Canis lupus familiaris: one gene and its partner. The protein of the gene in region 2 purifies or fractionates together with the protein of the main gene of each other region. This does not show direct contact. Links are inferred from orthologs where the notes say so. Each region holds a gene or a part of one and is shown on either strand. Other genes may lie near its edges.

Evidence for each region.
Region 1: the proteins of TNRC6A (region 2) and CNOT7 purify together in Homo sapiens (affinity purification with western blotting; 3 studies listed by BioGRID and IntAct, with this or other methods). This does not show direct contact. The link is inferred for Canis lupus familiaris from reciprocal best matches to the Homo sapiens genes TNRC6A and CNOT7.

Annotation. Positions count from the first base shown.
Region 1 is NC_049237.1:41,445,229-41,449,052, reverse strand, and holds part of CNOT7 (CCR4-NOT transcription complex subunit 7), read left to right. Parts: intron 1-2,374; coding exon 2,375-2,536; intron 2,537-3,824. UniProt on the Homo sapiens protein: Has 3'-5' poly(A) exoribonuclease activity for synthetic poly(A) RNA substrate. Its function seems to be partially redundant with that of CNOT8.
Region 2 is NC_049227.1:21,528,796-21,532,619, forward strand, and holds part of TNRC6A (trinucleotide repeat-containing gene 6A protein), read right to left. Parts: intron 2,374-3,824; exon of another isoform or gene 2,289-2,373; coding exon of another isoform or gene 2,273-2,288; intron 1,497-2,272; coding exon 1-1,496.

The DNA of each region.
Region 1 (3,824 bases), on a different chromosome or scaffold from region 2:
CTATTAAAGTATGGTAGTAAAGTTAGGTTGGTTTCTGTTTTTAGGATATTATTTGAAATGAGCAGCCTTGTATATATCTGCTTTTTGGGAAAACCTTTTTTAGAGATTTGTACATGGCTTTCACTCCTGTTGGGTTATTATACCTGAATATTTTGCCACCTTAAACTTCAGTAGTTGATTAGTATTAAGAGCAGTCACTGCTGTTCTGAACAGATTGTTCTAATCAGTAAGTCAATCCCTACACCTGCAGCAATCCTTACATTTTGGACACAACAGTGTTTTCACTACTTTTTTGAGATTTGCATCCTCTAATATATTCCTGCATTTACTGAGATTTTTTTTTCCATTTACTAAGATTTTTGAGGGTGGGGAATGATTTGAAAACTTGAAATGGATTGGGAAATGGACAGTCTTGATTCGGAATTGAATTGTAACAATTTTGGAGTTTTCCTTACCAGCAGGAAATTTTCTTCATCCTATTTAGAGATTTATTAGCCTACCTGTATAGAGCTTTCGGCTTTCTCTTCTAATGAGTTGGGCATTATAACGCATGGAATTGGTTCCAAATTTTAAAATATTTCCTCCAAAGAAATTTAAATGACAGTATATTAGCTTACGCTGCATTGAGTTATGTAAACTATGCAGAAAAAAGAGAAAGAAGTAATTTATCCTCCCCTTTTTTTAACCAAACTTGTTGATCATCGAATGCCTGAAGTACTTATCCAGGTCTTTCTTCTGGATATTGTGATTCAGTAGGTCTAGGCATAGGACCTGGGATTCCATATTTTTGATAAGCTCTCTGGATGATTCCTGTTACTGTTCTACCTCACATGTTTTTTGGCATGGTGATAGACATTAAACAAAATAGACAAAAATCATTGCCCTCTTAAAGCTTACATTCTGATTGAGAGTGTACTGTAATAAAGATTAAGTGAGCATATGGCCCAGAATAATGTGAGCCTAGAGAAAGAATCTGTTATGCTTTGGGTTGGTTATAATTTGCTAAAGTATGCCTCCCAGTGTGGGTATCAGAGCCTGGTGAGTGAAACTTGCTGTTTAAGATACATATTTTTAGTGTAATAAGGCTAATAATATCTGTTGTTTAATGAAAAAAACTTAGATTTATTCAGATATCTTTCCTAAAGGGTTTTTCTGTGGGGAGTTTTGGTCTAAAGTGATGATTGTAGTTCCCCTCTATTTTCTCAAATGTTTCAGAGGCTAGTTGTTTTGTTTTTTTTTTTAATTTTTACATTAAGGTACAGTTTATATACAATGTTATATTAGTTTCAGGTGCATAAGGTTCCATACATTGTGTAGTGTTCACCACAATAAATGTATTTACCATCTGGTGTCATAGAGCATTACGTTTTGTTATTTTTCAAAGACATCTAGAAGCAGACTGATGTCCAGAGAATAGACCTTAAGAATACTTTTTTACTTAAAATGTTTCTTTTGGTTTAGTTATATTGTGGCTTTTAATAGAGTTTTCTATTGCCAAGTGGTGGAAATTAATATTCTTGCAATTTAAAAAGTAAATGAAAATACAATGGGCAGTGCACAAAATACTTCTCATGTATTCTCAGAAACCTATACCTTTGTTTTGATCCTTTTTTAATTTAACATTTTGGATTCCTGTGTGTGCTTAGAAATTAGGGCTTGCTTTTTTGCCTTAAGTAAAATCTTGAAGGACTGGTTTATATTTAGATTTCCTGGTTTGACTTTTGGAAGGTGATTTTCTAGGATTAAGATTGTTAGAAGAAATTATTGCTGTTATAGCAAAGGCTTTCATTTTAAGCATGTTACTGGTTATTGGAGCCATTTGAAAGGCTCATCATTAGTGAGAGGAGGAATCTCCCTTTTTCTTTAGGATGGAATGTAGTTTCACTTAGCCACATCAGATGTTTTCTCCAGCTTCTTCCTGGAGCTGCTGGGAGATGGGAGATGTATATAGGCTGTCACCCCAGTGGCTACAGCTCCATCTGGCAGCTATAAAAAGACTGCTGAGACTGAAAGCCCCTGGAAAAAACATGTCTTTTATTTTGTGGTGGTAGCCCCTGGTGAGTAGAAGACCCTTTTTTCAAACTCAGTTAAATATATCTAACTTGTGAAAGGCAAATGAAATTGAATCGATAGTAAAGCTTAAAATCTTACCCTTGGACTGTTTTTAAAAGATGAATTACTGAACAGTTTTCAAAAATAATAACCTTTATATTTAAATTGTATTTTCCTTCATATATGTGAAGCACTGGAATAATTGGACCCAAGCCAATCCTCTGTTTCGTTGTTTCTGGCACTGTAGTTGTAGATGTAAGTGGGAGAAAAACAGTTTGAAGTATGGCGCTTTTGAAGGTTGTCTTTCTTTTTCTCCTGCCAGGGAGGACATGTATGCTCAGGACTCTATAGAGCTACTAACAACATCTGGCATCCAGTTTAAAAAACATGAGGAGGAAGGAATTGAGACCCAGTACTTTGCAGAACTTCTTATGACATCAGGAGTGGTCCTTTGCGAAGGGGTCAAATGGTTATCCTTTCATAGGTAAAAAAGAAAAAAAAATTGCATTGAAAATAGCATTTGTGTTTCTGTTTCCTAGCTGCTTTATACTTGGTGTGGGTCACTGTTCGAGAGGGAACTGGCTGCCGCAAAACAGTCTCCTCTCTTAAGAAGCTAATGTTGGTCTGCTTAAGGGTTAATTTAAAGGTATGAGATTCATTTTTAGCCTATGAGAGAGACTGTATTACATAGTGGAAAAAGTTAAGCTGATAAAGTAGATCTTGGTTTAAATCCAGCAATGCCATTTGGAATCAATGTTACCAAGAGTCATTTAACATTTCTGAGCCTTAGAATTAAACCATTCATTCATTAAGAAAATATTTATTTAATATCTACCAATGCCAAGTACTGCAGTATAAGATTCTAGGAATTAAGCTGTGAGCCAAACAGACAAAAATCCTCATCTTCATGAAGTTTATATTCTGGTCAGAGTAGGCAATTTTTTTTTTTAAATGATGACATTTATATTGTGGTTTATTGGTTAGTAAGTGCAATGCAGTAAAAAACCAGAAAGAGAGTGTTAGGGGAGGGTAGAGGTTGTGGATTTTATTATTTTTTTTTTTTAAATAGAGTGATCAGCTGGCATTACTTAGGTAAATATCTTGTTTTAATGACCAATGATATATTTAGAGCATTTTAGTAAAAGACTTTACACACAGTTAATTCTCAACAAATAGTCATTTTTAATTCTTATTATAAAATAAGACTGGATTGTTGAAGAGAATTTCCAGAAGGGGAATTAGTTCCATTTTTTAAGAAGAGACTTCCAAATAAGACAGAGTTTTCCTATTTAGGTAAACTAAATTAAACTGGAAGCCCAGGGACTAAAAGTGGCCTCGGTAATTAATTTATTTGGCCTTCTCTTACGGTAATTAATTTATTTGGCCTTCTCTTAATGTTCTTACATTGGGTCCATTCCACACATTTAAAAAAAAAAAAGGAGTCTCCTGCATTTTCAGCTCTAGCCTCTGGAATGATTATAGTGAAGGACTGTTCATATTGCAAACTCTGGTGTAATACTAAGCAGTAATTTTTAAGTTGGTACCGAACATAGTAATTCTCACCTGTCATCTTTTCTCTTTGTTCTGCATTTGAGCTTTACTTCAGGAGACAAGACTGAAGTCTCTGTTAATTTGAGGAATGTTTTTTCAGTTTTTTGTTTTGTTTTGTTTTGTTTTACTTCCTGGTCATAATTAGAGAGCATCATCCTTGTCCTTTTGTTGTATAGGACTTACTTCATTCAAAAAAAATACTCTGAGCAAATACTGTGTGT
Region 2 (3,824 bases):
TCTCCGATCTCTACTCTGATTTTCCCCAGTGGCTTTCTCCTCGAGGCGTCCAGTGCTTTCTGTACTACCTTCACTCTCCACTGTACCTCCTGTTTTGGCCCACACACTGTTCTGCTCAGTTGTCTGAGATGCGGCAGAAGCCTGATCCTCTTCCTCAGTAGATTTCCATCCATTTGTAAACTTCTTACCATTGCCATTTGCACTGTCATTGGAATGCTGATTGCTAGGCAGTTTGCTCCACTCCACGCTGGGTATATTAGTGCCAGTGTTTTGTGCAGGAGTTCCCCATCCTCGTCGACTTCCTCCAGAATTTGCGCCATTTCCACTTCCCCACGATGCATTCTGGGAATTCGTTGCCCCAGACTCCCACACACCTCCTCCTTTATTTGTGTTCACTTGAAAGTTAGTGCCCATAGGCCCATTTATGCCAGGCTGCATTAGAGTTGCATTCACAGTGTCACCATTAGCTTGGCCGTTAGGGCTCGAACATTTGTCTCCAGAGTAATTAGAACCATAGGCACCCCACGTAGTACCGTAAGAGCCTCCACTTTTTGGCTCTCCATTGCTAAGATGAGAAAGGGAAGTGCCATTCATAACCGATGGAGCCTGTATCTGAGGATGATTCATTGTGCTCACACGCCAGGCCCCTGTATTACTAGGCAGTTCGTTATTCTGTACTGAACCGGAGTTTGGTAAACTAGAGGTCATAAAGTTAGTAGTGTTATTTGGTCCAGTCATCTCAGTGGTAATATTCTGAGGTTGACCACTGAATGAAACCTTCTGTGTACCACTTACTTCAGATTCACAAGTTTCCTGAAGGCTTCCCCAGGTACCATGGGTGGAAGAACCACCCACTTTAGAGTTAATACTCTGATTGTTAGGCATCTGGCCTATGGTACTACACTGAATATTGATGCCAGAACTACCGCTCCCTACAGGCCCTTTGAGGGCAAGTCCGTTGTTGTCTAATACTGGCCAGGCACCATGGTTGCTAGCTGAATTCAAAGTGCTTGGATTTAACCCTCCATTTGATGAAGAACTTACAGTGCCCCAAGCATTCATTCTATTGTTGCTACTTTCTGATTTGCTTTCAGGAGCATCCACAGAGACCTGACATGTGCTTATTATGGCTCCATGGGAAAAACCCCATGGCCCAGGACTACTTCCATGGCCCACATTATTGCTGCTGCTACCAACCACAAACTTGTTTTGGGAACCAAGTCCAGTGCTATTCCGAAGGCCATCTTTTTCACCACCTGTGCTCCCTGAAGCCATGATAGTGATGTTTCTCTCTGATTCAGAACTGGAGGCAGAATCAGCATCCATACATTCTGAAGCCAACTCTGGATCACTGCCAGGGACTGAGGGCCATGCTTCTGTCTCAGGGGAGTCGTTTACAACAGCATTCTTACAATTTGTGCTAGAGTCACTCGGAGAAGACACAGGTCCCCGCTGTGAATTTTCATAATGGGATCCTGAAGTACTGTGGTTTATATCTAGAATAAAGGAGAAATACAAAAACTATTAAGTGCTTGGAAAGATGAGAAATGTTATAAACATATGTGGTTCCTCGACATTAACAAAATTTGATACTTGGCAGTATGGTTACAAAAGCACGGATTATATCCCAGCTACCAACTTTCCTTATCTAGTCATTAATTCCACACAGGCAGGGTATTTTGCGTTTTATTCACTGATGTTATCCTATGAGCCTAGGGCAGTACCTGGAACACAAGAGTCCCTCTCATTAGAGATCTGCTGCTGAATGAACAAACTATTACTTATCAGCAAGTAGAAGAATTTTAGTGTCAGGAAGAACTAGGTTGTAGTAATGTATTAGGATAATGAAGCAACCCAGGCCTAGAGGCCTGACGTGGAAAAAAAAAGGGGGGGCTGGGAAGGAGATGGGTAAGGACAAAGGAGCAGGACAAACTTGACTAAATGTATTAGAAACATATGAGAAATCCTTTCCTGTCTTTCCTTTCTTAGAGGAGCTTTTTCACACAACGGTTTTGGGTATTAGAACAAGTTTATAAAAATTACAAAGCCTTTCTTTCCCATTTTATTTCCATTTCATTAGTGTTTATGTTCAACCTGAAATACTGCATGCAAGTACAAATATTTTTAGTTGCATTCTCCTTCATAAAAATTTAATTTACCTTCATAGCCATATTTTTTAGGAGATCACAGAATTATGATGATTAAAAAAATCAAGTGCTGACACTGAACATCATTAATGATCAGTCATAGAATCCTATAATCTTGGACTCACCGCTATACATTATCATCTAGTTATCTTCCTGCAGGTAGAGGGCAGGCAGTTCTCATGCTTCTAATACTTCCCCAGATTCATTCCTCTCATTCGGTTTAAGGATCTGGTAGTTAAAAGTTCCTCAGGGATATTAACCTGCATAAGATGTCTGCATTTAGACTGTCTTTAGGGGGTTGCTTATGTTGTAGTTTTCAACTAGAGTAGTACTCAGAATCCTACGTAGTGCTTTTAAATAACATACATGTTCAAATCACATCCTCACATCCCAGACCTAATAAACCAACTGCTAGGAGTTGCAAGCCTAGAAAACAAATGTAACTCACTACCAATGTACTGCAAATATAGAAAATCAGGTTCATCTTCCATCATTTCTCTCAAAGCACAATCATCAAGCATTAAAAAACTAGGAGTTAGAAAGAAGAGCAGAAAAAAGACTAAAGAGAGACTAAAGGCGTATACATAATTCACCAATTACATGAATCTTAAAGTTCCATAACAAACTCTTATCTCCACTCCCAGTTGGGAATCATTTTTTTAAGCTGTCAAATGAAGTTTGTCATCATCTTTCAGTGCCCATGAGAAGCATTTTCCTCATGAAACACAGGATATCGAACAGTTTGTCTCATGGGGTAAAAACAAACCAATATATCAACACCGGCACCAGCAGTATCATCAATCAGGACCACGGATCATGTGTTTTCTCTGCATTTTTGTCACTGACTCCTTGAAACAACCCTAAAGCACCGATACTACCTTTACTTTGTAGCTGGGAAAATAAATGAAGGCCCAGAGGCTAAGTTACAGAAAATCAGGTGAGGAAAGCAGGATTCAGCATTGAGTAATAAAGCAAGGTGGCTAAGTACATTGCTGAAACTCCACAGACACCAAGACTCAAGTCTGGGCTCTCTGCAGCAGTTGTATGACCAAATTTGCACAACAGGGAGACAGACAGTACCTCTTTACCCAGCTGTTAACTATACTGTCCTATGTGAAGTATTTAGTTCAGTGCCAGCTTCAAAGAAATGCTCCACCAGTGGCAGTTTGGTATAGTGATTAAGAGCACAACTTTGTAGTCAGACTGCTTGGGCTTAAAAGCTGCTCTGTCATTTCCTAGTTATATGATCACAGGCAAGATCCTCAATCTTTCTGTATCTTAGTTTCCTCATCTGTAAAGTGAGAACAGTAATTGCACCTGTCTCAAACAGAATACTAACTCCTGGATCATTCCCCCACAGATGCCTATTCCCAAAGGAGAAAAAAAATTCTGCTTCTTTACTGGTTTTCTTCGTCTCAGTAAGTTTCCTAAAACCTAAGATTTATCCTTGCTTGCTTACTGTGCATGGCAAATCCCAACCACCACCGAACCCCAAATCCATCCACTTTTCTCCAGATCTAACAACCAAGCCACCATCACCATCATCAGCACCTCAAAGACGTCGAGTAAAAGTACTTGTTGCCCATTATTTGTTTTTTCACATGCATGTGTGTTTCTTGCCACTTCCACAGAGCAAGCGTAAGAAAGGAAGATTGAGAATGTTCGACAAAACCGCCT